Alligator mississippiensis: one gene and its partners. The protein of the gene in region 3 purifies or fractionates together with the protein of the main gene of each other region. This does not show direct contact. Links are inferred from orthologs where the notes say so. Each region holds a gene or a part of one and is shown on either strand. Other genes may lie near its edges. The genes, in order: ANKRD44, PPP6C, PPP6R1 and ANKRD28.

Region 1 (7,928 bases), on a different chromosome or scaffold from region 3:
AAACATCCTTCAGAATCATCTCCCTCTTCCTCCATCTTAAAAGATAAACAGAAAAACAATTACCTTTTACATTTAGAAAAAACACAGTAACTGTAAAAAATTGCTAGTCTGTAGCCAGCTCTATCAACAAACAGTACATTATATGTTGCTCTGTGAAACTAAAGGGCAGAGATGCAAACAAATATCCCAATTTCCTGGACAGTGGGCCAGTGAAGATTGACTGCAGATAGACTAGAACATCTCTGGATGAAGAAAGAAAAGTAAATAAAGTACCACCATACTGTATAAAAGGAAGTATCACTGTCATCAGTATGTAAAAAGCGGCATCCTGTTCCCTCCAAAGTTGTAGGAACACAGAGAGGTCAGAGTGACCATTATCTTGGCAAAATGAACTAAAACAAACGGTTCTAAGCCAAACAGATGCAAATTTCTACTTGGATACAAAATAAAAATCCCAATTAGAGCAGCAGCATCGGCAACTTAAGGTATGTCAGTGCCAACACAAAAGGACTGTATTAGAAAGCACTGCCCTAAAACGTGTCATACCTGCACAATGAACACTACACTCTAAACCAGGATACCTTTGTGCACACCAAAAAAGCATTTGGGAAGAGAGTGAGCTTACTGATGCAGGCACAACACTACATCATGGCAGCTCCATTACATATGGTTGGTGCATAGTTCATGAAGTAGCTATAGGCTAGAACAATCCTTTGATGGTATAAACATGCCATTTTATTTAATATTTCTGGAGACATCTCTAGGATCAGGAAGAGCTCTCAGTTATTTTGCCAAGCAACAAAATCTGTCCTGCTATCTTGAGACTAGCTATGAAGTCTCCCCTCCCTTCCCCAACCCCACCACTAACCCTCCCCACATAGTTAAATTTTCTCTTTCCTTAGAAAACAACAACTCTCACACAGCCTTGCCACAGTTTCCTATTGTTAGGTATCACTTACTTTTCATAGTTTCCTCATATCCAATTTTGTTCTGCTATATTAATAGCTTCTCTGCTATGGGCTCTGAAACATGACATTTAAGCTAAGAAAAACTCCACAGCTGACTGTGAACGCAGTTGCATTTTATTCTTACTTTGTATTTACACTTTCAAATGTCAATATTATTCCAGTTAATCAGAAATGATCAACAAAGAAACAACTGCTACCAAGTGGCTGGAAGTAGCCCAACATTGCTCAAACACTAACATGGAAGTAATTTAAAAACATCCTAAAGAGAATTACAGGCAGTCCCTTTGACTAGCCAGCTTACAGCAGGTAACAGATGTGCACTCTTCCATCCCCATTCTTATAGTGATGTTTCTAGTGCTTGTGATTCACCTGAAATTATACTTGAAATTAATGATTCTGAATGCATCTTGGCAAAGATCTTTTTAATTACTCCAAAGAACATTTAATTTTCTAGCTCAAGATAGGTTTGCTGCTAGGTCAACACATTCTTGGAAAGGTTTTTATTATATGGAACATGATTTTGCATAAAAATGTTCCTGTCCAATGACCTTTCTTCCATTAGTTGTGAATACCATAATATTTAAAGTATACACAACCCATTTAATGTTTTACCCAGCAATTGAGTGCATCTCCATAGCAACATTTCCCAGCAACCTTGAGCCCAAGGGATATAAAAACATTTCAAGAGCGGAACCTGAAAGCATGCAACCATCTTAATCTGTACAACAAATGCCATTTTTAAGAGCTAAAACGTTCAGGACAAAGAACGTCTTAGAAATGGCACGTGTTGCAAAATTTAATTTTTATCATTGGCGGGGTGGGAAATCCAGGGGATGTGGAAAAGCCAATATATTAAATCAGCATGTTTTAGGGTTTTAGCAAAGGACCCAAGAACCGATATTTACAAAGAGATCAGATCTCCAATCTTGTTTCCCCCTCTCTCTGCGCCTGATCTGATTCCTGTGCAAGTTGAAAGCAAGTCTTGACTTCACAGCAAGTCAAATGGAGTCCAATTTAACTAGACCCAAGTACTGCTCCCTAATGCTTCCTCCCCTCAACTGGACATTCGGACAATATTGGCTACAGAAGTTGAAGTCCCAAAGCAGTGCGCTATATCAGGCAAACCACTAGAATTAACTATGAATAAAATCATTACTATGTTGTTAAATGGAAAAGACAAAGGAAAAGGATAACAGTTTTAAAGCAGCTAAGCTACACCAGTATTCTGTCTCTTCTTTTTTTCCCCCCCCCCACCCGATGTCTTCCAGAGCTCACAGACTATAGTCAAAATGCCAGCAAAAATTGTTCATTTTAACATCCTGACTGTAATTCAACATGAAGGGGAAAAGCATAAGGCAAAAAGCTGCTGCAAAAAGGGCAGTTCAGTTTAAGATTTTCCACTGTGAAAATACTTAACCTCTGTTGTTTACAGCAGCTTACCATTGTTCAGGCTAGAAATAAAGCAAATCTGCAGTATAGTAATTCCTCTGTGTGCATGTCACTGGCCAAGCTAAAACTCCCTTACTTCTGCCATTTGCAAGCTCCAGTGAAATTATCTTAAGTATATTCATAGCTTCAAGAAAAGCCCCTGATCTGCACAGGCTCATTATAAAGGGAAATTCTACAGAGAATCGCGATATGCTGCTTTCAGCTATCTTCATTCACAACAACAGGGACTTGGAGAAAACTGTCCCTGATTGACCTGGACATTTTAAGTAATTATTGTGTACAGTTAAAAAAAATAACTTCCACATGCTGGAGACAGAATCCTAATTACTGACTTAAACTACTATTTAAGCTATGAATCTCTAGTTCCTAACTATTTTTTATTGTGTTGGTTTTAATTTTTTTATAAATGTTAAAGTCATGGACAGCTTATTTTGCTCATGGACTGCAATATAAATACATTTACAGAGTCACTTACCAGAGCATTGACATCCTCAGTTTTGTAGATCAACATCCGTATCTCCTCTGGATCACCACTGAAAATTGCTTGAACCAGTGGTGGCTGCCAAGGTAAAACACAAAGGAACAATAAAAAATGTGTTTTTACTGTTTTAATAGATGGACATTTTGGCTAAGTACAAACAGCGAAAAAGCCCGGCAGAATCAATTCAACCTTTGCAGGTTAATCGAAGCTGCACACACTGAACAGATATGCAAGCGAGCAGACATTCACCTTTGACTCCAGAGATGCAGCCAAATGCCCGCAGGGGCCCAGGCCAGAAGCTGGAGGGTGCAGTGACATACTGTGGGTCTCTGACACCTGGGGGCCAATATTTACATTTGCACCCCCCTCCTCCCCACCCTATTCCTGTCCCCAGCCGGAGATGCTGGTGGCAGAACCAGATACCCCATAGAGGGCCCAGCCAGTGCCCCTCCCAGACCACTGCCCAGGGGCATGGCCCCCCCATCCCCCTGTCAATATGCCACTGGGGGCAGTGCTAGGGCACATCTCCCTACTCACTGCAGCAAACAGCTTTGGTCAAGGCTAGCCCACCCACCCTGTAAAGGGAGGTTTGTGAGGGAGGTACAAGGCATTCTGGGATGCTGGGTGACTGAGTTAACTTGAATCTGGAGGGGATCTGGGACATAAGTTCAATAAACCAATATAACCTAAATCAGTTAAATCTGATGCTACATTCATCCGGGTTCATCTTAAACTGGGTTTTGAAGTGTCATTGATAGGGTTAAGATGACATTGTGTGCGGGGTACGTAGACCCCAGCCCCAGAGAGGGGCAGCTTTGAGACGCCCCAGTGCGGGCACGACGAGCCCCAGAGAGGGGGCAATATTACTAGGAAGCCCAGTGCAGGCACAACGAGCCCCGAGAGAGGGGGCAGTGTTATTAGGAAGCCCAGGACAGGCACAGCAAGCCCTAGAGAGGGGGTAATATTATTAGGAGGCCCAGTGCGGGTGCAGTGAGCCTCTGAAGAACGGCTAGTGCTGCGGCAAACCCCAGAGCAGGGTAGAGTGCTGCGGTTGCCCCGGTGAGAGGGGGTAGCAGCACGGTGTGCCCTGAGAGAAGGGGAGAGCAGCGCGGTGGGCCTGAGAGTCAGGGGGTATTGCTGGGAAGTCCCCAGAGTGGGCGCAGAGAGCCCCAGACGGGGCGGTATTTTAGAGGCCTGAGTGTGGGCGCAGGGAGAGCCCCAGGAAGGGGGCATTACCGAGAAGCCCAGCACGGGTGTAGCAGGTCCCAAGCGGGGGAGCTATTGCGAAGGCCCCAGAGAGGGGCAACATTACAAGGAGGCCCAGAGAGTGGGCAAGAGCACGCAGAGGAGGCCCGAGAGACGGGCAATATATATTTATAAAAAGACATACCAGCGTCTTTCCCATCAGCGAGGCTTGGGGCATGGTATTAGGGGTGGTAGAAGCCACGCGTAGCCCATAAGGCTAGGGTGCCCCAAAACACCCAGGGGTGCAGGATAAGACCCACGAGGGGTCCAGGAGTGTACATGCCCAAGGAGACGCAAGGCAGCCTCCCTATTATATTTACCAGGAAGATGTGGCGGGCGAGAATTTGAGGGTGCCCTTGGGCCGACTTGGCATGGAGAGAGGGCCTTAAGGAGACCACGTCCTTCCTGAAGGACCCCGCCGTGACAGCAAGGCTCTATATGTTTTGAAAAGATAGCTAAAACATCATCATAAAACAACAGAACCAACAGCTACTCATTGCTCTGTCATGGAAGTTAGCTAACTAACATAACATCAGCACAAGTACACAATGCACAATGACAAAATTATCCGCATAATGACTATGGAGATATTGTGCTATATAAACCCATAGCAGGTGTAATCACTTGTGCTTTTTCCAGCAGAAAAATAGGAGTAGCTTAAAACAATTCTATGACCTTGTACTCAAGTATACAAAAATAGGAATTTGTACATAACAGGCATTGCAGCCTCATCTTACACTAACAGCTTTGAGAAGCCAGTCAATTGTTATGAAGTAAGAAAGCACACAAAAATTAAGTATTTATTTCTTCATGTCTAATTTCCATTAAAATACCAAACAGCAGCAGCAAAAGTTTACAACCTCAGTAGAGCTTTAAGCTCTACTGAAACCTGACTTTGCTGCCAAATGAGACATACACAAAGCAACTTGGATTAGTCGGTGTTCACCTGCCTAAACACCTGATACCCATTTTCAGTACATTAGTTACCACCCAGAATTCTATTATAATGAATGAGAACTCTGGTGGCCAAGGTGTGTTTTTCTTCAGTGACAAAATTGTACTTCACACACTTTTTTAACTAACCACCTGTTTTTGTGGGGGAGGGGATGCAGGGCAGGGTGGGACCAGAATTAGAATTTGTGGCATTTTTTCCCCTTTAACTTTTAACAGACAAGGGAGATTTTTTTCCAAGTAGATGCCAGAGCACTCAGAGTTTGTAAAAAGGCATTTTGTTGTTATGTTTATCTTGAAATAAATATTTTAAATAAATTGTGATAATAAAGATCTTTAGCTCAGACACTGCATAAAACTAAAAGAAGTCATCCTATATATTAAAATGCAAGGGCTGCATCTGCCTATGCATTTACACAATGCTTAACAGAAGAGTGAAGTGCTGGATTGGGTACTACTGTACTACTACTACTATAGATATTAATTATTATAACAACAACATTAATGCTAGTGTTCATTTGAGAAACACCGACAGCCAATAATGCTCTTCTGAAGAAAAATGACAATACTATTACTAGGCATACCAGAAAAAACTTAAAGCCAGAATTCATGACAGAGTCTGTTGCTCATGGGAAAAATTAATAGATATCACCAGAGAAGATTTTATTTTAAGAAGTCCTCAAATCCTGTAATGGGTGACATTTTTGCTTCAATTAGAAGAGGACAGAGTGCTGCGAATTCTTAAATTGAAAAGATCCATGGTAAGACAGCTTGGCATTTGTCTTGCTTCATTCTGCTACAACACATTTGGATCAGATATCCAATTTTACAGCAAATGTTTGACCTTTATAATTAGCATCAGTTGTTTAACATGGAGAACAGCAGCAGAATAAAGATACATATTTTCAAGGTGGGGTGCTTAAAATACCCTACTTTTCAAATTCTACACAGATATTTATAGTCTGTTTGACATAACATCAGGATTTACTCTGCCTAAAAACTAGTTATGATTTTTTTGTATATTCATTTACAAAGCCTTTGATGAAGATAAAGAGCTGCCACATATGCTTTAATTTTCCTATCACTTTGAATGGAATTCACTCTTAACAAACATAATGATTCTTTTTATGAATTAAAACAGTGAGAGAGAAAGATATACTCCATGGTTTGGAAAGAGCTGTTGAAAAGAATATAGGTAAATATCTACCTTCAGTTAGTCCCATGGAACCCCCTTGGCTTTGTTGTGCTTATATGTACTTTGATGGGTTTGCTTTTATTGCCAGGTGATACTGAAATGCACAACACAGAATTGTAAATGATACCCTAGCCAGGAGTGGGTATAGGTGTGGGTGTGTAGAAGATTCGAAGGCATATGGAATGAAGGGGAAGTGTTGCATTCAGAAAGGAAAATACCCAAAATATTTTGTGGTATTATTGTTGAGATCTGAAGTCAGAATGAAGAACCTGAAGTGCTGGTGGGTGGTATGGGAAACTCTGGAACAGACTCTGGAACAGACTCCCAGCAGGGGTGGTGCAGGCACCTGCCCTGTAGATCTTCAAAAGGAGCCTAGACACACACCTTGCTGGGGTTATTTGACCCCAGCAGTCTTACCTGCCCAGAGCAGGGGGGCTGGATCCAATGATCTCAAGAGGTCCCTTCCAGCCCTAAACTTCTGAGAATCTGTGAAAGTACTCCTCTATTCAGTGCCTGACAGTCACAGAATGCAACTTGTGTAAGATGAGTGAGGGCTTGTGTGCAGATGAGTGAGGGCTGCTGATGGATGTTGAAAGACCTGAACCAATGATGTTCTTGATCTTCACCAACTGTTACAGGCCCCATCCCTGTACACCCTGCCCCTAAATTCCTACCCCCCCTCCCTCCGAGCCCCAGAAGCTCGGTGAAATGGATTTGCAGGTTGGATTTCGCCTGCAGGCCACAGATTTGAGACCCCTGCGTTAGCACATTATCTCACAGGAAAGGTAACATGCATTGAATATTTTGTCTTGATCGGATAATCCTATCTGGGATTTCTCGGTTAGTCTGCCTTTTTAACTCATGGGCAGCAAGGAGTTTTAAGGATCCTCACAAAGTCTTGCAGAGACTTAGAGGATGTTCAGTTCCCATCTTGCTACATCTTGCAAGATGTAGCATTTGCTACAGTGAAATATCATTTGGTCCTTTGAGTGAAAAGGATTACATGTATACTGAACCTTCATTTTTCCTATTTGTGCCAAATCAAACTGCTGAAGTTGTGACTTTGATGTTTGCAGGTTCTTATTTCTTCTACTAAAAAGATAATGCAGTGAAGTGAAGTAGGTGATTATTTCGCAGCAGTATTGATTTTGTCAGTGTTTATCTATTCCTGTCACACGGGTTTACTTTTCCAGAGATGCCCCTATTAATCAAAATTATAAGGTCGCCTTCAGTGTCACATTAAATACATATATTCTCATACAGCAATAGCTATGAATAGACTACTTCTCCTTTTGGTTATATATTAGTTCTGGTTACAGAGTTTCCTTCTTTTTGGTTGTAATTAAATGTGCTTTATAGATGGCATGACTTTTTACTAATGCAGGCATGAAGTGAACTGCTACGATGTTTCCAAGATGTTTTTTGGATACTTCAAGCATATTGCTAGGTTGCTCCTTAGTTCGCTCATATTTTAAAGAGTTTTCCCCCACATGCTTCAAATACTTGCATTTCCAAATATGTTTTACAGCACTCTGAAGTACTTTCACAGATTTTGCTCCCCTCTAATTGCTCTCCTCTTGAATGACTGTGTTCAGGGGATGGGGGGAGGCAGTGGGAAACAGGTTTTTATCATATGCCT
Region 2 (7,121 bases), on a different chromosome or scaffold from region 3:
ATCTGCACAGGCAGCTGAATTACATAATATCCTTTTCCTGCCCAAATTGAGAGGAGACACAGCCTGCAGTAGAGCTGTAATGAACTAGGTTTAAAACAGCTCTAGGCAACCTGTACCTAGCAAGCAAGGATTCCTTTGCCATCTTAGGCCACTATGTCAAAATTCAGACCCATTTGTCCTTGCTGTCACATGCATCCCGTTATGGACTACACATTGTCCGAAACAGCTATTAGTGCCTGAAGGCTCTGCTGCAGGCTCCGTCACTTCAGCAACTGAGATGTCACTTCTAGGCGCATCTACTCCCTCAATATTTAAGTGGCGGCTCTGTTGCTTAATAGTGGTGAAACATCTATCCCTTAATGTCCATTTACTGCCCTACTCACAGCTTACCAGGTAAATCATTTTTGTTACTATGACAACACAGAATAAAACCAGGTCTAATGAGAATCTCAATATTAATTTTGCTTTCTAATAGGACTTTACAAGATACCAGAGTACTTCAAATATTACGCCTCGGCATTCTCAAGTGATTAACATACAACGTATCCGTGAAATTGGAATAAAGCTGAAGACCTGCTTAAAATTTTATGGAAGATCAGGGACTGGACCCCATTTCCACAACCCACTCTGCCAACAGGAAAGCTATATACACTAGCAGGAAAAAAAAAAATCAGATGTCCCTAAGGAAGATCTGCCTTGTTAACCAGTCTTACCATAAAATCCGTACACTTGTGTTATCTGCCTGCTTTCATGATTGCCCCGTAAAAGCGTGATACGATCAGGCCATTTAGCTTTTAGTGCAAGAAGGTAGGTGAAAGTCTCGAGACTATAGTAACCTCTGTCTACGAAGTCACCCTGTAAATTGAAAGTACGAATTTATAAGTAGAAAGCAAGTCAACTTGTCACATAGTAACGCATCTATTTCTAATGCCTCAATTTGCCAAAAAGTCTGACTCGGAATGTCAGTCTTCATCTCTGTTTTATCAACTCTGAAGACTACTTTAATTCCCAGCTAAGATTTAGATTATTCAAAATTTCACAGCTGAAAACAAATATTCCCCCTATGCTCCTATATTTCGGGTCATATAAGGTTGCACATGTTCTAAGACACATTCAGGATGTCCTTTTTGTTGGTATCATGAACTACAGGTTTTATTTAGCAAATGCTGTAATTTATTTCCTTTTGGGAGAGCCAGCACTGAATATTTCAAATTCTGCTGGACAAAGCAAATGCTACATGTTACCAGAAAAGAGGGTGAACAGAGTGGAAAGCTTTTTCACATGCCTAAGATGTTTACAAGCAAGAATTGTAAATGAAAATGAAAACCAAAAGAGAGCTGAAATCCCCTTTAGATCAGTATATTTTTAAAAAATGATTACCTTTTGCGTGATCAACAATTTTTACATACCATAAATATATAGTTTGTGTCAGGAACCTGACCTCCAGTTCTGAATAATTCACATAAGTCATAAAACTGTAAAGAAGAATTTGCACACATTAAAAATCTGCGTTAGCAGCAGGCTAACACGCTTTCAACAACAGTCATCACTTGGAAATAGGAAAGCACAAGATAGGAGTTGCCTGAAACAAAGTTCTACGAAGGCTGATAAACAGTCATGACCGGAACGGGGAGGCTGCCCTCTGTGCACTTTGTCAGTGTTAAAACCCCCCCAAAAACCAGCTGATTTTACTGGGCACAAACTGCTGTACAGCTGCAAATCCTGAATCAATCCTGCAAGCATAACATCCGAACCCAAATGGAGCTCCACCCTTTTGCGACGAGGCCCCGTTAGTACTGAACAGCTTCAGTCTAAACACCACCGCTCTCCAGCGGGTCGCTGGGTGGGAGGATTGCTCGGGAACGCTTCTGGGAGGGGCTCCCTTACTACGCACAGAGAAACGCTGAGAAAAATACGAGATATTTTTGCATTTCACTCCAACAGCAGAGCACACCAAATGCTCGAAGTCACTGAATGTCCATTAGCTAAACCTGGCTCCCCACCATACACCTCAGCTGCAGTTTGCCATCAGTCCTGGAAGAACGGTGGCTTCCTGCTCTCGGCGGGTCCGGCAGGAAACACGCACGAAACGCGGCACTGAAACGTTACCTGCCCGTGTATATCTCCACAGACCGTAACTGGCGTCGATACCGGCTGCACATTGGATTCTTCCAACAGTAGGTCACACACGTAATCGCATAAGCGCTACAGGGGGGAAAAAGAGTTTGTATGGATCGGTACGTCAGTGCACCCGCATTGTAGTAACAAATTAATTCACTGAAGCATTTGTGCTGTGCCTGTAAGCTGTAGATTCAGCTCCAAATCTCCACACAAAAATCAATCAATCAATCAATCAATTAAATTTTTAACATAACTGGACATAAATATATGACAAAGCTACAGGGGGAGCCCCCAAGCAGCCCGGACCTCTGCCAGCTGGCAAACAGCAAGCCACGGTTTCCCACGCTTTTCTCCTTTAAAGGAGAATCCATTTTTAAAGTCCGTTTGCAGCCCTTTAATACGTTCTTGCAACCCATCTCGTCCGGGCCTGCTCCGAGCAGGACCAGCCCAGCTCCACCGTCCCAGCCGGGGCGTTGTCTGGTTGGGTCGTGCTCAACCTCTGGCCCCGATGCACAAATGCTGCCCGTGCAGCCACGGTGCCCATCCTGCCCGTGCCCCACGGGCCAGCACGTTCGGGGCGCGGGAATGGTGGCCACTACCGTGTCCCCTTTCCCTTCCCCCACCACACACACACACACACACACACGGTGGGGGTCTTGCCCCAGGTGCCGGATGTGGCCCCCGGGCCCGATGCAGCTGGCTGGGCCCCGCCCCGGCGGCCCCCCCAGCCGCAAAGGCTGTGACAGGGCGAGGGCGCCTCACCTTGAGGTCGTTCTCGGGCAGGTACTTGCAGAGCCGCGCGATCTCCACGTACTTGTCCAGGTCCAGCGGCGCCATCTTGGAAGAGCGGCTCCGGGGCGCCGGAAGCGGGGCCCGGCACTTCCGGGGAGCGCTAAAATCCCGCCCCCACCCCCCCGTCGGCTCCTCTCGCAGAGGCCGGAAGTGGGGGGACTTCCGGAGCGAGCGTCGGCACAGCTGAGCGGCCGGCAGTGCCGGAAGCGGAAGTCGCTCGTCTCCCTCCACAGACTTCCGGTGCGCGTGAGGCGCGGTTGGGTTGGCTCGCCTCCCAGCCTGCTCCGCGGGGCACGCTGGGAAGTGTAGTCTTCCTGTCAGCGATGGGGCGGGCCGGGCGCCAGGCCCCTCGCTCGCCCAGGCCCATGCGGCTGCCGCTGCTGGAGCCCGGGGCGGCGCCCCGCCGGGCCGCCTGGTGAGTGCTCCCCGCCCCCGCGTCCCGCCGCGCCCCGCCCCGCCCCGCCCCGCCCTGCATCCCCTGACGCGCCCCGCGTGCCCTTGCAGGTACGCCCTGGCCCCGCGCGGCGACGGCCCCTGCGCCCGCGTCGGACACGGCTGCTGCTACTGGGCCCGGCCCGAGGCCCGCGGCGTCGTCGTGGTCGGGGGCGCCGACCCCGCCAACAGCTTCTCCGACGCCCGCCTCCTGGAGCTGGGTGAGCCGGGGGGGGGCGGGGCGCGGCCTAGCTGCTCACGAGGCCGACCGGATTTTTGTTGAAAATAACATTAAAAAAAAAAAAAAATTAAAAATAAAAAAAAAAAAAAATGAAATAGCGACTGGAACGGTTTGCCACAACACCAGCCTTGTGCGTTGCCTGGCAGGTGCACTCAGGTGGGCCCCGCCGCGCTGGACGGGGCTCCTGGCCCGGTACGAGCACGCCACCTTCGTCCCAGCCGGCCGCCCGCGCAGCCTGTGGGTGTTCGGCGGGGCCGACCAGGCGGGGAACAGGAGCAGCGTGCAGGTGCTGAATGCAGGTGAGCGCCCGGCCGCGCGGGAAGCGGATGGACGGTGTTGTGGGAACGCAGCCTGCTTCTAGACCGGTGCGTCGAGCAACCCTTGATCCGCTAAGCGTCGGCCTCCGGATTAAAACATCCTTGATTTACTTTGCTTTTTTTTAACCCACTCTGCTGCTCATGGCTAAATTCATAGACGCGAGGGCTGGAAGGGCCCTCGCGGGATCATCTGCCCCGGGGGGGGGAAGTCGGCTGGGTCGGGTCACCCCAGCAAGATGAGCATCCGGGGGTTAGACGGTCTTCTGATTTCCAGGTGAAACTTATTCGCAGCCAATGACGATTTTATTTTAATCAGAATTGGGAACCTGGGAAAGTCCTGAGGTGACTGGCACTCGGCCGCTCCCAAGGACGTTTCATTCATCGTCGGCTGTTGTAGGAGACTGCTTGTACGTGTTTGGAGGAGGAGATAAAGGAGCGGAGCCTGTTAAAGATCAACGGCTTCATGTTTTTGATACAGGTAACTGCAAGGATCCGAAGCTCTAAACGCGTTCGTCGTCTGTTTGGAGTGAATGTGCGTTACGCGGAGCTCAGGAACTAGATGCACAAATAAGACGTGCACGTTCAAATGCAGTGTGTTATTGGAAGCCTGATTTGTGGCCAGGAGTCCGTGTTAGGCTTTGTCTTCTGGTTCCCAAGTTGAATCTACACACAGGAAGCGTATATTTGTTCTTTCACCAACGTTGGCCTCTAGCTTAAAGTTCTTCTCCTGCCCTGGTGTTCCACCCCCCGCCCCCATACCTTTGCAAACAGCAGTCATATCCCCTCTCAGCTTTCACTTTTTGCTATGCTAAACAAGCCAACCTTTTTTTGTCTTTATAAGACAGGCTTTCCCTTTTCCCGATCACCCCCCAGCGCCCTTCCTTGTGCCTCCTTCAGCTAGAATTCACCCTTGATCCTGTGACCAAAACTGTACACGGTATTCCAGTTGAGCTCTCAACAGTATCACCTCTAGTGAAAATGCCTCTCTTGGAAACCCTGCTAGTTTAATGGCTTTACAGAACTTCAGCAAGTATCTTCCTAATGCCCGTATATGTTCCCATGTCTGTCTAGTCACTCTGACTTGGTCACAGCCAGAAGTGCACGGGGATCCTCCTGCATCTCGGCAAGGGCATGCAGTTGTTGCAGTTGGGAGCAGGCTCTTCTTGCACGGGGGGCTAGCTGGTGAAAAATTTTATGACGATCTCTTTTGCTTGGATACAAGTAAGTATGTGAGGCAGCTGTGTCTGCTTTATTAAATACTATGATGTAAATCACTGAACCGACCATTGCATAAGTGCAGTAAGTGGCTGGCTGCAGATGCGAGGGACTTTTTTTTCATTGTCATGCTTTCTGCATCTGTCTGAGCAGGCATACAATATGGTAAACGCACAGACGACTGCAGTCTGTAAGCAAACAATTTCTATTGGCATGCCCAAAGTGATGACAGTGTTTGCACAGATCTCATCAATATAGCTATTGATTTGTTTTTTCCTATTACAGGTGATATGAAGTGGGAAAAGGTACCAGCGACTGGCGATGTCCCAGGAGGACGGGCAGCACACTCAGCTGCTGCCTTTAAGGACCATTTTTACATTTTTGGTGGAGTAGACCCAACTGGGGCACTGGATACAATGTACAGATATCACATAGGTGGGCATTTTTTCCTTCACCTATACAAAGGTGTCCGTACTTAAGGAAGACATTAACCTCTTTGATAGGATTTACTACATTGGTCCTAGATTCCCTTGATCTCCTGTAGTTTTAATTCATGTATAATTTAACTGAAATCATTTGTATTATGTCAGTGTGGAACAGGAGTAATACCATAGTCTCTTGGGTCTAGCTACCTACTTTTGGGGGGAGAATTTGCATACTGGCTTATAATTTTGATGCCCCTGTCCTTTGTGAAGTTGTGGGCTGATTCCACAGTGAACTGTCTCTTTCTCTTTGGCTGCAGAAAAACAGCATTGGACACTGCTAGAATTTGATTCCCCCGTGCCCCCTGGAAGGCTGGACCATTCCATGTGCATAATTCCATGGCAAGTGTGTAACAGTGTGGAGAACAATGTTTCGGAAGCTGCAACAAACAGAGACAAATCCGAGAAGGAAGCAGCTGTTACAGTTGCTGAAGAAGGTGACCCAAGTCAGAACAAACAAAGTGGAAAAGGAAATGTAGAAGACACACTTGTGCATCTGTTCTTTGTGTTTGGGGGGATGGATACTCAAGGGGAAATTTACAGGGACTGTCTTGTATGTCTAGTTGAGTAATGCAGGGTTCACTGCTTGTATAGACCCATTGCCCTTTTTGTATGTTTAACTAGTAACACAGCTCCAATAAACAGGACTGCTGCAAGCTGACAGCATTGTGCTCAGTACACCTTGTTTAGAAAGTGCTCTGGCTAGAGGTCTTGAGTGATGATCACATTACTTCACCTGACTCAGATTCTCAAAACACCCCCCCCCCCCAAGTCTTGAGATAACAACTACATCCTCTAACAGGTGCTGCAGCTGTTTTCCATGTCCTTGCTAAACTCTGAACTCTGCCTCCTGTGAACAGGATTAGCCATAGAGCATGATCTGCAGTAGATAAACCCAGTCCCTTATTTTCACCCTTTCCCTGCAGCTTTTTATGTTGGTTTCTTGTCTTGAGGGTTTGCCTTCATGTAGAATTTTACCAACCTGGTTGTGTGTGGGGATGGCACTAGTAAGAGTGCTAAACTGGGGCCAGATATGCTTTAGATGTAGGGTAGGAGGATCTTGTACTGAGGAAATAATACATGGAGCAGCATTGCTCTTGTTCCTTTGAGGTGAGTACAAGCCATACAGGTTTCTAAAAAGCAAGACCAGCCTGTAGTGTTAAGCATAACTAAGCAGCAAATAAGACATCTAACTTTAGAAGTTGTTAGCTGTATAGAGATAAATAAAGTCTCTCTACTTTTAAGTAAGAGGCAAAAAGACCCTCACAGATGCACACCACAGATATGCAATACAGAAGTTACTGCTTTGACAGGCCATGGAAGCATTAGGTAGCAGTACAAATTAAGCCCTACATTTGTTTTCACAAGATCAACTTAAGGCTAGAATACTAAGCTAGCATGTTTGCACATATTCAGAAGTGAGCTTTACAGTGTTCCCCAAAACCTGCTAGATTGGCCAGTATTTTACATGCAAAGTGAGTGTGATGTATAATGGTGGGGGGGGGAAATAATATTAAATAA
Region 3 (7,677 bases):
CTCCTCTCCCCAGCTAAGTCTAGGGACCCCATCCCATGAGATGCTAAAGAACCTCCCTCTCCAGTTCAGACTTGGGACTATTACATCAGGGTCCTGCACACAGCACCCCTGCAGGCTGCAATGGGGACCTCCATTCTGCCAGGGAGCCCCCTAGGATCATGGCCCCCCACTTCACAGTGATGCCTTCCCAAACTAGAGGCCCCCCTCACACCAGGCAAAACACCAGCTCCGACCCAACCTCTAGCCTGCTGGGCACCGCCCAGATATACAACCGGAGCTGGTGCTTGGCTTAAACTGAGACAGCCCAGGAGGGGCCCAGAGTCCCACAGCTGGATCAGGCCATGGCCCAGAGGCAGGTCTGGATCTGATCTCAACCCCTGCAATCCCCAGGCTTCTGCGGGGTTATCATAAGGAGTGTCATGAAGGTGACGAGTAGTGCCAGAGTCCTGAGCCCAGTATGAGGACATGGAACCTTACCCCTTCCATAGTCAGGTTCCAGCAAGTCATGCCTGGGGACAGCTCCTCTGAGCTGGGAGGAGGAGGAAGGCAGGGCAGCAAAAATGCTCCTTAGCCCCGTCAAGTCCCAGCTGCTGGCTGAGCAGGTCCCCAGCCTCCCATCTCCCCACCCCCCTGCACCCAGGCAGGCAGTGCTGTGAGCTGAGCAGAGAACGGAAGCTACAGGAAATGGGTTTGCAAAGACAGTTGAGCAGCAGTTTTGCGGAGAGCTGAGGAGAGGGCAGGGCCTTCTCCTCTCTCTCAGATCTCTGAGCTGCCCCCCTAACATGGGGGCAACCATCTGCCCCTGCCTTAACACTCTGAGGTAGGCAATGTCCTTTAGCGGGTGTCTAATTGGGGTGGGTCTCACACCCCTTGGAGAATGGGGGAGCTCTGGGCAGCTCACTGACTCCCACCCCCCTCCCCACATAGACACACCCAATCCCCAACCAGACTGGGTCTCTAGCAGTGCCCCCTTTCATACCAGGCCAGGCAGGCTGTCCCCAGGCAGTACATGGCACAGCCAGGGCCCTCCAGTCCCAGCACAGTCCCCACCCAACATAGCCAGCAGAGTCCAGCACCCCTAGTAACACATCTCTTCCCTGCCCACTGGAGACCCTAAAGAGGCTCATTGGAGGCACAGAAGCCTTCCCCTCTGCACTTCCTGTGGGGCAGATCCATCCCCATCAGTACAGCTGCTGGACCAGAAAGTGGACTTCTTGTCCACAGAGGAAAACTAAGGCAGAGAGAATTCCCTAACTTCCTCCACCCAGGGGTTGCCATGCAAGTCAGCAGCAAGATCTGACCTTGAGACTCCTAGGCTGTACTCTTAGACCTCCCTCTGTACTCCATTCCCTCCCTTGATCAGGGCCAGCACTCCCCAGGCAAGGAAGGCTCCTGGCTCATGCCTCACCCCCTAGCTAAAGGTTGGGGACAGCTCCCTATACACTCAATGGGTCAGTACCCTGCTTCCAGCCCCCTCCTAGACAGGGCACTTCTCCATCACCTGGATGCAAAACCTCCCCAAGCCCACACCATGTCCAGCAGCATAACAGTCACAGGCTTTACCAGGCTCAGCTGGCTGGTAGCACCATGAGAGAGGCCCAGGAAAAACCAGACCATCTGCCAATGCTGCCTCACCTCTGGAGGGGCTGGCTGGGTCCTGCCTACCCCTCTGGACAGCTGTCCTGCTGGGCACAGGCAGCCCGGGGGTACAGATGCCAGAAGCTGCCTGCAGGTCACAGTCACTGCTGCCCCTCCCCCCCAAGCCTCTCACCAACAGATGTCAATGCCTGTTCACACACACACCAAGCCCTGCCTGCTCCCCCAGGCCCCCGTCCTTTCTGGTTAAGGAGTACAATGGTGCTGGCACCCCCCTTTCAGAGGTTGAGAAACTGAGGCATGCTACAGAGATCTGCCCCTCCAAATAAAGCAGAAAAGCAACAGCAGAGAACCCCTACCTCCCCCTATTTTACCCCACTCTAAGCCACTAACCCTAGTTCCCTTCCAGGCCCAAGCATCCTGCCTGCCAGTCCCTGACTGCTCTAACCCACCAGGCCCTCCTTTCTCCCAGGGCTAGAATAGTGCCCAGGTACCCTGGCTCCCAACCTGCCCCTAGGAGGGCAGCTCTCCGAGGGGTGGCAGGACCCAGGCAGCCCCTTCCAGTGGGCGGACAAGGATAATCAGACAGGATACTCTGTCCTGCTTTCCCTGCCAGTGCTCCCAGACAGCGAAGCTGGCTCCAGCCCTCTGCTCTAACCTGCCGCCACCCCCATCCCCCCTTGCTGGATCAACGAGCAGAGCACTTGAACCCTGAAACCTAAACCCCTTGCACCCCCTACCCCCTCCCAACAAAGGCAACTTCCAGCTGGGGGGGGGCCAGGGGCTAATCCTGGGGCTGCACCCCCTATGAAGCTGCCTCCCAGGCAAGGGGGGTCAGGGACCTAGCCCTGCCCTAGGGCTGCCCCCAGTGAGCCAGCCCCCACCAGGGTGGAGCAAGGCCCAGCCTATGCTCTGAGGCTGACCCCCCGCCCCTCAGCTAAGTGGGGAGGGGCTGCCCCATGCCCTGGAGCAGTCCCCAATGCAGCCCCCCCAAGCAGAGGTGGGGGCTGAGCTGTGCGCCCCCCCCTCCAAGGGCAGCAGGAGCAGCCCATGGGGGAGGAGGGCTGCGGGTAGGGACACAGGGACCCGCCCCCACCCCGAGGCGAGGGCACCCCCCATGGGTGGGGGTGCCTGCGAGTCTCCCAGGCTGGGCCCCCGAGTGAGAGCCCAGCCCAGGCCCCTCAGGCAGGGTGGAAGGCCCCGGGGGGGGGCGTAACATGGCGGCGACCGAGAGCGGAAGCTTACCGGGCCCCTCTGGAGCTCCTGGCTCCGCCGCGATCCCACAATGCCCTGCGCCCAGAACCAGTGGCCGCTCTGCCTCCCTGCCAAACCCCCTCCCCCGGAGCAGCGCGCATGCGCCGGCCAACCACTTCTCTCGGGAAGGATCCGGGTCGTAGGCGGAGGAATGCGCATGCGGCGGCAGGGTGGCCCCACCTCCCCGCGCGCATGCGCACCTGTCTCTCCGGCCCGTGTCCAAGAGCCGCGCATATGTACTTTCCCGCCCCCAACTCTTCCGGGCCGGTAGTGCCTACTAGGCGTGCGCATGTGCGGGTTTTACTCCTCCCGCCCAACGAAGCAACGCATGCGCAAATGGTCTTGCAGGTGGCCTCAGGAAATCATGCATGCGCCTTTTCACCACGTACATGCGCACTCAGGCTCTGGTCCCGGTGCCCTTCATTGAGCACTAGCCAATCGCGGACCTGCCTTCCCCTGCGCCGGGTCTCCTGGCACTGCGCATGCCCACTTATGTCCCACATGCTACCCCGCACGGGCGTGCGCGATAATTGCTGCTTGCTCTTTAAAGAATTTGCGAAGAGCTCTGAAATTGGAAATGTATACTTAAAAGCATCATCGTGCAAGTCTAACGGCCTGGTTTGGCGTGGCGTCACAGCTAAGTGACATCATCCCTCCCTCTATGACGTCACCATGCTATCTCACCTGATATCAGCTCAGTGAAGTAATTAGAGCACTGACATCATTACTACAGGAATGACAGCTGCTACCTCAGGCATGGCACTCCTGCCTTATGAATTACTGAATGCACCACCACTGCCCTGAGTGTTGTGACATCATCACTAATCATGACATCACAGCCATGCTGTCATTGCTCAGAACATCCTCACTGTACTACAATCTTCCATTCAGGACATGACTTTTCCAGTGAGCCTGTGCTATACGTGTGTAACGTCCTCACTCTTCCTGAGCTGATTACATCAGCTGCTCCATCTGTGACATCATTCTGTGATACCCAAAGCACCCCCACTCCCCCAATGAGCACTGGGCGCACAGATCTGGGTGCCATGAAGATCTTTGTAATAAATGCCTGAGGCAGGCCTCTCCCAGCCTACCCTCTCCCTAGCAAGAGGTGCAGCAGGGGATATTCAAGAGCATCATGGCAGCTGTCTGTATGGCACCCCAGGTCAGATCCTGGCTGAGGGCAGCTCACTGTGAAACTGCTACCGACTTCCAGGCCCTGGGGAGCCCTTGCTTTGAGGCAGAGGCAATGATGGGAGCCCCAGGGTTCTCCACAAGATGGAGCCACTTGCCACTGGGCTGGGAGCCAAGCTGAGACCCAGTAACTCATACCACAGAATAAATGTGAGGTAGGGGCAGAGCAACACCACCTAAAAGGGACCAGCCCTTGCCCCATCCCCACCCCCAGAGCCAGCCAGAGCCCCTGCCTTGGAGGGAAGTGGGGGCAGCAACCCAGAGGGGAAAATCCCCTGTCTCATTCTCTGCCCCCAGTCCATGTGCCCCCCATACCAATCATTTTCTTCCCCCTGAACAGCTCTGAAGTCCCAGTGATGTCCTTGTGGCCTACAGCATCCATGGAGGGCAGAAAAGCAATCACTGAAACCAGAAACTTTATTAGAAAACCACTGGCAACAAGCAGAGAACAGATGAACAGGTAGAGGGGGAAGAGGGCTGCTGGGGAATCCCCAGGACTTGAAAGGTGGGACCCCTCCCATCAATATGGCTGCCTCACTTCCTCACCCCCACAAGGATAGCATGGCAAGGAATAGAGCTGCTTTGCCCAGTTCTCTGAACTCACACGTCATCTTCCTTCAAGGTGGGATGACTTCAAGACTTAAAAGGTGATGTCAGAGAGGGGCTGGTTCCCCCAGTGAAAGGTAAAGCCTCCTGCCCCACTCCAAGCTGGCCTGGAGGCAGATGAAATATGATGCCCCCTGAAGTGGAAAGCTCCCCTTCCTCAGCCAGTCCCAGTATAAGTCAGAGGTTAACAACATGCAGCTGGATCTTGCTAGCAGAATGAGACCTGACTCAGCATCAGAGATGGGAGGGGGAAAGAAGGAAGAAAGGGGCTGCTGGGATCTGGATAAAGAGTGGGCGGTCTGCCTGAGGGCTAGGGGTAGTGGAGGAGGGGAAGGACTGTGAGGGCAGGGGTTGGGAAGCAGTAGATTTGTGTGGAGGGGACCATGTGCCAGGTGCCACCCCCTCATTAGGGTAATAAGCCACACCCACCCCAGCAGAGAGCTCTGGTCCAGCCTGGCCCCTTGGCAGGTTCTGGTGTCTCATGCTGCCATGAAGGGGCAGGAGCTGGGGGCTGCATGCTGGGAGGGTAGGGGGCTCCCCTGCTGAGCTGGGGGAGGGCGGGGGATGTCACCGATCCATGCTGCTCTCCTCAGGTGGGGTCTGGAAGCATATTCGTAGCAGCCGCTCACAGAACTCCAGCTCCTCCTGTGGGGAGAGCAAGGGGTTAAATACACACTATGCTGCCACCTACTCCTCCTATTTAGCTCATCAGGGATGCTCTGATCTCTTATCAACCAGCATGGAAAGATAAGCAGGGTTGGCTGGGTTACGACTTGGATGGGAGACTCAAAGGTGCAGGGCAGGAGGCACCCGCCTTTCACAGCTACTGCTGGCCCCAGTGCCCCAGGGCAGCACTAAGGGGCACCACCTTGTTGTGGGCAGGGCAGGGCAGGGCAGAGCAGGGAGCCAGGGCACAGCTTGGGGAGGGAATTCCAGTGGTATTCTCTCTGTCCCTCCCTATTGCCAGGCTAGTGAAGATGGTGTCCCCTAGTACCAGAGAAAGAGTAGGGCTCATAACACCCCCTAGTGCCAGATGAGGAACTGGGGCATTTTCCATACTCTCTACCACCAGCAAGTGGCAGAACACCAACTCCCTAGTGCCAAGGGCACAGGCGAGTCTCAGCATAGGGTTAAGGGGACACAGGGTGGCCCCCCATTAGGGCCAGGCTGAGGAAGAGAGACCCCCACCCTCTTTGCCCTGAGGTAGGGGGAAGAAGCATGGTGGTACCCCCTTGTGCAGAGAAGGGGCTGAGCTGGAGTGTGGCAGCCCCAAGGTACCTAGATCTTACCATTCTGACCAAGAGACTCCTTTCCTTTCCCCACTTTGGACCCATACCTGAAACTCCTCCTGATCCTGCAGCAGTTGGCAGCGAGCCCGCAGCAGCTCCTCTAGCCCCAGCTGGGGCTCCCGACACTCCCATACACCCTGAGGGAAGTCTGTCACCAGGCTACAGTGCAGGGGGGTGTGGATGGGGGAGTCAGGCCCAGTACACAACCTACTGCCATTCTCCCCCACCCTGCACCATCTTCCAGCAAAGAGAATCCAGGAGTCCAGGCTGTCAGCCTTTAACCTGCTAGGCCTCACTCCCCTCCCAGAGCTGGGAAATAACTCAGGTGACCCAATTCCTAGCCCCTGGCCCTAACCCACCAGACTCACTCCTTCCCAAGCTGGGATAGAATCCAGGAGTCCTGATTTCCATGTTCCAGCCCTAACCCACCAGATTCCCTTCCCAGAGCTGGGATACACCCCAGGATTCCAGGCCCCTTCCCCATCTCACCTGCAGAGGGCACCCAAAACGTGCTCATGGAAGGAGCTGTGCTCAGAGTGGATTAGGGCCACCAGCTGCTGAACCATCCCCATGGAGCACAGGGTCTCTGCAGAGAGGATGGGCAGTAGTCAGGGACATCAGCATCCCTTTAGTGTTGAGCTGGGAGGATTGAGGGTGCATCCCTAGTGCTGGGTCGAAGGGGAAGGGGCACTGCCCAGGGAATGGAAGGTGTGCCACCCTAACACCAGGCTGGGGAGAAGAGGCACAGACCGGAGGAGGGGGGGGGGGGGGGGGGGGGGGGGGGGGGGGGGGGGGGGGCATAGCATCAAACTCAGGGATGGAGCCAGGGAAGTCTGGGTTGCACGGCACAGTCAGAGGCAGATAATAGTGCTAGTGTGGTAAACAGGGTTCCCAGTTTTTCCTCACCCCTGCTCCCTCACCTTTGTGCTCGGGGTGATCCAGGAGCAGGTTCTGTAGGAGGAAGGCCGATTTCACCTTAAGCTTCTGCACAGGACTCTGCATCGCCCGCATTAGCACAGAGAAGCCGTCCAGCCTCAGGAACTGTAGCAGCCCAGCCTCCTGGGCACGCACCAGGCCTGCCATGTGGGGAAAGAGGGGCAGAAACTCCATCAGCAAGGGCTGGATGGACTCTCCCCCGCCACTTCCCTTGCCTACATTACAAAGCCCATGCTGTATCCCCACCCCTGAGCCTGCCAGTGCCCCCTAGAAGGAAAAATGCCTCTGCCCCATCCCCACCTCTAAGTCTGCCAGTACCCCTGAGCTCCACGGCCTGTGCTCTTTGGACAGCAAAGGGCCTTGCCTTCTTCCCATCCACTGAGCTAGCTAGTGCCCCCTTTCAGAGAGGCAGCACCCCTTGAAGGGGAAAATGCTCCTGTCCCATTCCACTACCCAGACTCTGCCCCCGGCCAGTAGACTCACAGGAGATGGCAAAGAGTGCCTTGATGCGCACCATCTCGCCAGGGTCATGGTCCAGCAGGCGCAGCAGCTTCCGCATGCAGCCCAGTGCCAGGGCCTGCTCCTGCACTGTAGGCACGTTCTGGCTGCAGGTGCCCACTAAGTGGGCAGCACGCCACCGGAGCTCCGGGTCCGGGTGCTCCAGGTACTGATGGGCCAGCAGCCGCATCCCATCTAGCTTGCAGAAATCTAAGGGGGAAGTACACATAAGGGTGACAACATGGTCTACAACAGGAGTGCTCGATCTTTCAGCCCTGTGGGCCAGATAAGTGGTACAGGGCCC
Region 4 (7,144 bases), about 110 Mb from region 3:
AGGGAAGAGGAAAAGATGAAAGGGAGTGAAAGGGGGAGACAAGTAACATTAACTCCTTGGCAGCCACAGTGACAAGCCTCATTGGCCAAATCTGGCCCAGGAAGGTGGATGGTCCAGCCCACAAGAATCCCCATTGGCTGGTTCATCCACCTCCTAGGACCAGATGTTTAAAGCACCCCTGAGCTAAGATATACAAATTGAATATTGTGCAACTATTTGATTAAAAACTAATATAATAAACCTAGAATTTTCTTTCCTGCCATTTCTAATACTTGAATATAAACAAGCAAATGTTCAGTTTATGTACAAATGAACTGGAAATCTAAAGCCTAAATGTTAACCAACATTTAAAAATTCTTTTCTCCTTAAATAAATTTAGTAAAATGAGTTTTGCATTAAATATATTTATTTCTTTAGCTCCTCTCGTCAGCAGTATCACTACTGTACTTATATGTTATTTACAGGCCTCGTTCCTTTTAGTAAAATTAAGGTACCCAAATAAACAGTTTTGAACAGGTAAAATACAGGAAGGGACTGTGCTAAAACAAAATTAATCTGTACTTGGTAAAAGACACTTTTCTTTTTACCTGAACGTTAACATCTTCTTTCTTAAATATTAGTGCTCGAACTTCATCAGGATCCCCATTAAATATCGCTTGAACCAGCGGTGGCTGAAAAGAAAGACAATAAATTAAATTTATATAAACATACATTCCATTCCAATATTTACTTTACAAGTACATTTTTCTGATGACAACACACCACTAAAAATACCAAATTAAAATACCTCCAATACCCAAGGTAGTGAAGGGAGACAACAGAAACTACGAATGTTGGCTTGGAAGAAGCCAAAAACAAAATAAACCCTCAAGGAAAAAATGCATCATACTAATTTTGGACAAACCAATCAACCATTCATTTAAAAAAATTCATCTAGGTTTTTATAAGTCTACTGACAAGCTAAAAGAAATGCACTGAAAAAATCCTTGTTCAAAAGAAACATAATTAGTCTAGAACATATTACAGAGTATTCAGAAACAAGTATATCTGATATTCTTAAAGTTGAAGTAGTAATTCATATCTATTTGGATATATGATAAGAAAGCACAGAGTAACTGAAAGGTATAGTAACAAATGCTCATGGATTAGAGACACATTTATTACTAAATATAAAACTGGATTTCCTAGCCAGCATCACAAACTTCTAAGACCATATCATGTCAGAATCAAACAGCAAGTCAGTTAACCAAAGTAAAATTCTGTTGTAAAATTCATATTTTTTAAGAGAGCACTGAACATTTCTGCAAAGTAGCAGCAGCTACATTCATCTACAATCTGATTTAACTTTTTATTTTAGTATGTGACTGACATTGCTCAGAGTACATCATCTACTGTACCAGTTCTCAAAATACACACAGCTTATTACTGCATTATAATGGTTACATCAGTTTCTAAAGTGGTACTAAATAGATACACCAGTGAGGAGTGAGGAAATGTTTACCACAAATGTCATTTGCTCAGGCTTGCTAGAAACTGTATACTGCTATTAAAAATAAAAAGCTCCCATTTGTTAACTGTGTCACAAATAAGGAGTTACATTTAAAAAAGAGCCCTTGAAAGTTTTAATTTCATAAGTAAGTTTCAAACATCTCTCTGCTTAACATAGCTAGTTTACATTTTTAATTACAACTGCTCGTTCAGTGACAAAATAATCCAGCTACTACTTTGCATATTTATGTAAACCCTCTGACAAGCATCATGGGAACTTTGCCGCTCTTACAAACATTGAACATTTAACAAAACAGACAGGTCTTACCAACACACTTCCAGAAGGTGATGGACGCAGAGATAGGTTTTCCTGAGGTAATTTGGAAATAAATGTGGGAGAATCATCTTCTACCTCCTCCAAAACAACAATACAGACTCGACTCATTCGATCAGTTTGAAAATAAAAACCTATATTCAGAACAGCACTGTAGAAATCGCAGTCGAGGCAGCCCAGAAAACACTTTCTTCTGCCTATATACTCACAAACTTAAGTTCTGAACCTACTGCTGGTGTTTTAATACTAAAAAAGGACACTGTTGCACTTCCTTATATTTCATTTTCTATATTTAACACCCTGGGGTGCTCAAATGATCCTGTTTAAAAAAAATGTATTTTTTTCAAAATATGATTTCATCCAACATCTACACTACAACACTGAATTTGTGGAAAATGTATCAAAAATAGTCTTCAGTATAACTACATTACAGTAAAAATGTCATTGTAATAAATCTCTGTTACGTCCTTTCACCAGCAAATGTTTTTCTTAATATCGCTACTTCTACAGCATAAATTTATCCACACAGTAAAATCATTGTTGTAGACGACATGACACTATCCTGTGTAGAATGAAACAAGGAACAATTGCTCTGACAGAGATGATCACAGCTACACAGTCCCACAAGGTCAGTTTCCAATTAACAGTATCAGGCTTTCTGGTGACTGAAAAATAAACACAACTGTTCTTAATGGTTCAGGTTCTAATCATTTTGCAATTTGGCAACTTCATTTGTCAATGTCAAACACAGTCCACACGAATTTTTCAGCAGTCCTTCAGAACATGATGCTCAGAGGTTGACAATTCTTTCCCATGCAATAAAAATCTCTGCAATGTACAGCAAAGCTGCAGTACATTTACATGCGATGAGTCAGACCACAAGGGACAATGGAAGTCCTGGAATAATACTGCCCGTTTAATCCAGATTTCCCAAATGACAGAAATGTAGATAGCTTTATTCCATCAGTGACACGAACAACGCAGAAAATTCATTTTTTCCTCAATCAGGCAGTTGCTGTGGCTGCTCCAACAGGGAAGGCATTAGACAGAAATGCTGTTAAGGAAGACTGCTTCAGCAAAAACAAGCAAGCTACCAAGGCACAAGGGTTCAGATTACTGCCTTAGACTTCTGAAAAAGCAGTTCATCACTCAAGTGTTTCTTTTGATCACCATGTGAATACAGTTCCCATTATAGTCTTCACTCAGAGGAGAGGAAAGAAAAAAAAAAAAAAAAAAAAAAAAATCAGACTCCGTGCATCTTCTTTGAGCCAACTTCTTTATTCGAACATCTGTCTCTGTGCCAATTGGATTTTCCTCCGGCGTTCAACGTTCTTTTTATCAGTTTTTTTGCTGGTGATTTTTAGATTGTGTTGAGCAGTTCATGCAAAGCTACTGCCTCAATAGGTCATTAAAGAACACATTAACGGCACAAAAATCACACCCACAGAAGCATTCCAACTGAGCAATAGTCTAAAGAGCACAGACTGCAGACCTGCAAGATGAAATGCCTAGTAATGCTCACGTTACACTTACCAGAGAACTGAGCCACTGCTCTCAAATGCAACTTCCTCTAGCAAAAAAAAAAAAAAAAGGACTTTTGGGCAGTCTTCACATTTGGAATGTTTGTACCAGTTTGATGACTAATTCAGCTCAAACGTAAAAATTCTATAACTGAAGAAAGAGTGTGTGTTTAATATTTTCCACTAAAAGCCACAAGGAAATCTGGTGTACTGGCTGTGCCGTCTAACAATTTAGGCAAGTAAACAATTCCAACATTCTAACTACTTTCATATGTCACTGCACAGAGCAGCAAAGCCATTCTCATTTAACTCTTTGAAGACATCAAGAACATTTATTTGCATAAGTGTCCTAAGAGCTAAAATGAGAAAGATGAAAAGAAAAAGAAAAAAACTCTCTAAAAAAAACTACTACTTACCAAAACCATTTTTGTTGCAACAGAACACAAATGCACAGAGGTCTCAAAAACCAGAAGCCTGTAAAATAGTAGACCAAGTATAATCTACCCTTCGCAAACCTAATAAAGCTATCCAAAAAGTTGAATTTATATTTTGCCTTGAGTCTGCTTAAAGTAGGTGTACTGATCTGTGGGTGTATTATATAAATGCATCATGTGTCACAAAACTGTTGGAAATGCTTCTGTTACACAAACAGTGGGGTTTTGTTCATACTAGGCATTATGGAGACATTTTTGATGTTTCTCAATTGCTGATAAATTTGCAATCTGTAAATGGGGAACAGAATGAAAAACTCAATGACCCTAAGAAAATATTGTTACTTGGGTCTATTAACTAACCCAGGCAGAGGTTAGTTAATAGACTTGGGTCTATTAACTAACCCAGGCAGAGAAGGTTTCAAGCATTTTAACTAGTTCAGATACTTTTAGAATGTTAAGAATCAGAATATTATTCTCACAGCAGACTTTGATGCAAATATATATCATAGTTTGGTATTATTTTAAAATTATCTACAGTGCCTTTACCACTACATACTCAAATAGTTTCCTATACTTCCTAGAAAGAACTCTGAGGGAAGCCATGCTTTTAAACACTTTCAAATATTACCTTAGTTTGGTGCTCAAAGCTCAGGATTGGTAGCCTGGCAGAATAAAACCCAGATTTCTGGCTAACTAACTTTGGAAGAGCTCAACACAGTAACCAAATCTTCACATATGTACCACATAAACATTGTTTATTTACCTGTAAGGACAAGTTTTTATAAAAATTGCTTCAGAATAATAGCAATTTTATTTTTGAATGGGTTATTTTTAAAAGTTCACCAAGCAATGTCAGTGGATCTTCAATGACACATGATACTCACTGAAAGCTTTTTTTTAGTATTGTGTGTACAGGAAACAAGGTTTTTCTGATTTCTGTCTATAAATAATCTCCTGAAAAAAAGTGACCAATTTGTCTCTAAAAAAGAAACAAGAAACTCACTTAAACACCACCAGCATCCTCTTGCTCTACGTATGAGTACATAGTTCACCACAGCTCTACTGGCCAGGCCCATATAATATATGAAATTAGTCTTCAAAGACTGAGAAATATGTAAGGAAAGCACACAAAGAAAGAAAAGAAGTAACTGCAGATTACAATTATAAATTATAATTTAATATACTTGCTAGATGGAAACACTGTACAACTAGGCTTAATTTGATCTCAGACTTAGAAACTTACAGTTTATAATTCCTACAAATGATTCAAAACCTAGCTACATCAAGAATCCAGCAAGAAATCCAATTAGTCTATTTAATGCTATGAGTATGACGTCATGCTTAAGGAAAAGCAAAATGGTAATTTAACATTATAACTCTAAAACAAGTTATTAAAAAAAACACAAGGGCATGTTTTGACAGTAATTTTATAGCAGCACAGCTTCATAGTTGGTAGGGTAGGAAGGGACCTGAGGAGATGATCTAGTCCGACCCCCTGCCATGGCAGGAAAGAGTACTGGGGTCAAACGACCCCGGCCAGATGTTTGTCCAGCCTCCTTTTAAAGACCCCCAGGGTAGAAGCCAGCACCACTTCTTTTGGAAGTTGGTTCCAGGTCCTAGCCGCCCTGACAGTGAAATAGCACTTCCTAACGTCTAGCCTGAAACTACCCTCTGCTAGCTTGTGTCCGTTGTTTCTTGTAACTCCCGGGATTGCTTGGGGGAACAGGGACTCTCCCAATGCCTGCTGGTCCCCCTTGACTAGTTTGTAAACTGCCACTAGATCCCCTCTCAGCCTTCTCTTTTGGAGGCTGAACAGGTTCAGGTCCCTCAGCCTCTCCTCGTAGGGCCTGTCCTACTGACCCCAGATCATGCGGGTGGCCCTCCTTTGGACCCTCTCCATATTGGCCACATTGCTCCTAAAGTGTGGCACCCAGAACTGGATGCAGTACTCCAGCTGCGGCCTGACCAGTGTTGCGTAGAGGGGGAGGATCACCTCCTTGGACCTGCCTGAGATGCATCTGTGGATGCACGACAAGGTATGGTTGGCCTTCCTGACCGCGACCCCACACTGTCAGCCCAAGTTCATTGTGGCATCAATGACGACTCCAAGATCCTTTTCTGTCTCAACACTGGCGAGAAGGGAGTTCCCCAGCCTGTATGTGTGCCGCTGGTTCTTCCTCCCCAGGTGCAGTACTCTGCACTTGTCAGTGTCGAACCCCATTCTGTTCTCTTCAGCCCATCCCTGTAACCTGTGTAGATCCGCTTGCAGCCTGTTCCTTCCTTCTAGCGTACCCACTTCCCCCCACATCTTAGTGTCATCTGCGAACTTGAACAGGGTGCTTTCTACCCCCTCACCCAAGTCACTGATGAAGATGTTGAATAGTGTGGGCCTGAGGACCGAGCCTTGGGGAACCCCACTGCCCACATCCCTCCGGGTCAAATAAGAGCCATCCACCACCACCCTCTGGGTGTGGCCCTCCAGCCAGTTAGTGACCCATCTGACCTTGTAGGTATCAACACCAGTCTCCTAGTTTCTTACTGAGAATGGGGTGAGAGACCATGATGAAGGCCTTCCTGAAGTCCAGAAAGACTATATCCACTGCGACACCTGCATCCAAGGACTTGGTGACCTGGTTGTAGAAGGACACCAGATTGGTTTGACAAGACCTGCCCCTAATGAACCCATGCTGGTTGCCCCCGAGCATAACCTCCCCTGCTGGCCCTTCCTGGACATGTGCCAGGATAATTCTTTCAAAAAGCTTCCCCAGGACCGAGGTAAGACTCATGGGGTGGAGATCATCAGGACCTGCGGATTTAAATACATCTAGTTCCTCCAGAAGTTCCCTGACAATGTCCTCATTAATCCTAGGTCTGGGTGTGCCACCCACAGGGCCCTCGGGGGTGCCAGTGGGGGAGATATCCGGGTCCCTCCTCAGAAATATGGAGGCAAAGAAATTGTTGAATATGTCAGCTCTACTGTCAGGTGAGATGACCAGATTTCCTAGCGTGTCCTGCAGAGGCCCCATGTTACTTGGCACCTTCTTTTGCCCCCCTATATATTTGAAAAAGGATTTCTTGTTGTCCTTGATCTGGGTCGCTAGTCCCAGCTCCATTTCCACCTTGGCCTTCCTGACCACCCCCCTACATTCCCAAGCTACCATGGTATACTCCTCTCTTGTGATGGTCCCTCCCTTCCAATGGGTGTACGCCTCCTTTTTTAAGCTACTTAAGTAAAGTCATCCGTAATGGCTATTGACCATATTTTTCCATATTTGTTAAATTTTTAAAATGGTAGTATTAACTGTATTTTAACTGCAAAGATTGCAAATGCAATTATGCATTTCTCACATATAGCTTGTTGGGGGTTT

What was found.
Region 1: the proteins of PPP6R1 (region 3) and ANKRD44 purify together in Homo sapiens (co-immunoprecipitation; 5 studies listed by BioGRID and IntAct, counting the BioPlex papers as one, with this or other methods). This does not show direct contact. The link is inferred for Alligator mississippiensis from reciprocal best matches to the Homo sapiens genes PPP6R1 and ANKRD44.
Region 2: the proteins of PPP6R1 (region 3) and PPP6C purify together in Homo sapiens (affinity purification with mass spectrometry; 11 studies listed by BioGRID and IntAct, with this or other methods). This does not show direct contact. The link is inferred for Alligator mississippiensis from reciprocal best matches to the Homo sapiens genes PPP6R1 and PPP6C.
Region 4: the proteins of PPP6R1 (region 3) and ANKRD28 purify together in Homo sapiens (co-immunoprecipitation; 4 studies listed by BioGRID and IntAct, with this or other methods). This does not show direct contact. The link is inferred for Alligator mississippiensis from reciprocal best matches to the Homo sapiens genes PPP6R1 and ANKRD28.

Annotation. Positions count from the first base shown.
Region 1 is NC_081827.1:192,927,767-192,935,694, reverse strand, and holds the start of ANKRD44 (serine/threonine-protein phosphatase 6 regulatory ankyrin repeat subunit B), read right to left. Parts: upstream 3,002-7,928; 5' UTR 2,929-3,001; coding exon 2,893-2,928; intron 1-2,892. UniProt on the Homo sapiens protein: Putative regulatory subunit of protein phosphatase 6 (PP6) that may be involved in the recognition of phosphoprotein substrates.
Region 2 is NC_081835.1:66,441,423-66,448,543, forward strand, and holds the start of PPP6C (serine/threonine-protein phosphatase 6 catalytic subunit), read right to left. Parts: upstream 3,014-7,121; 5' UTR 2,959-3,013; coding exon 2,884-2,958; intron 2,206-2,883; coding exon 2,110-2,205; intron 1,476-2,109; coding exon 1,410-1,475; intron 856-1,409; coding exon 714-855; intron 1-713. Other genes in the region: RABEPK (rab9 effector protein with kelch motifs), read left to right, coding at 3,237-3,328, 3,418-3,566, 3,733-3,885, 4,220-4,381, 4,975-5,124, 5,404-5,553, 5,861-6,171.
Region 3 is NC_081828.1:39,350,248-39,357,924, reverse strand, and holds the start of PPP6R1 (serine/threonine-protein phosphatase 6 regulatory subunit 1), read right to left. Parts: upstream 3,019-7,677; 5' UTR 3,010-3,018; coding exon 2,842-3,009; intron 1-2,841. Other genes in the region: HSPBP1 (hsp70-binding protein 1), read right to left, coding at 5,218-5,295, 5,987-6,098, 6,429-6,525, 6,860-7,015, 7,359-7,583. UniProt on the Homo sapiens protein: Regulatory subunit of protein phosphatase 6 (PP6). May function as a scaffolding PP6 subunit. Involved in the PP6-mediated dephosphorylation of NFKBIE opposing its degradation in response to TNF-alpha.
Region 4 is NC_081828.1:153,582,269-153,589,412, reverse strand, and holds the start of ANKRD28 (serine/threonine-protein phosphatase 6 regulatory ankyrin repeat subunit A), read right to left. Parts: upstream 3,016-7,144; 5' UTR 1,934-3,015; coding exon 1,817-1,933; intron 672-1,816; coding exon 588-671; intron 1-587. UniProt on the Homo sapiens protein: Regulatory subunit of protein phosphatase 6 (PP6) that may be involved in the recognition of phosphoprotein substrates. Involved in the PP6-mediated dephosphorylation of NFKBIE opposing its degradation in response to TNF-alpha.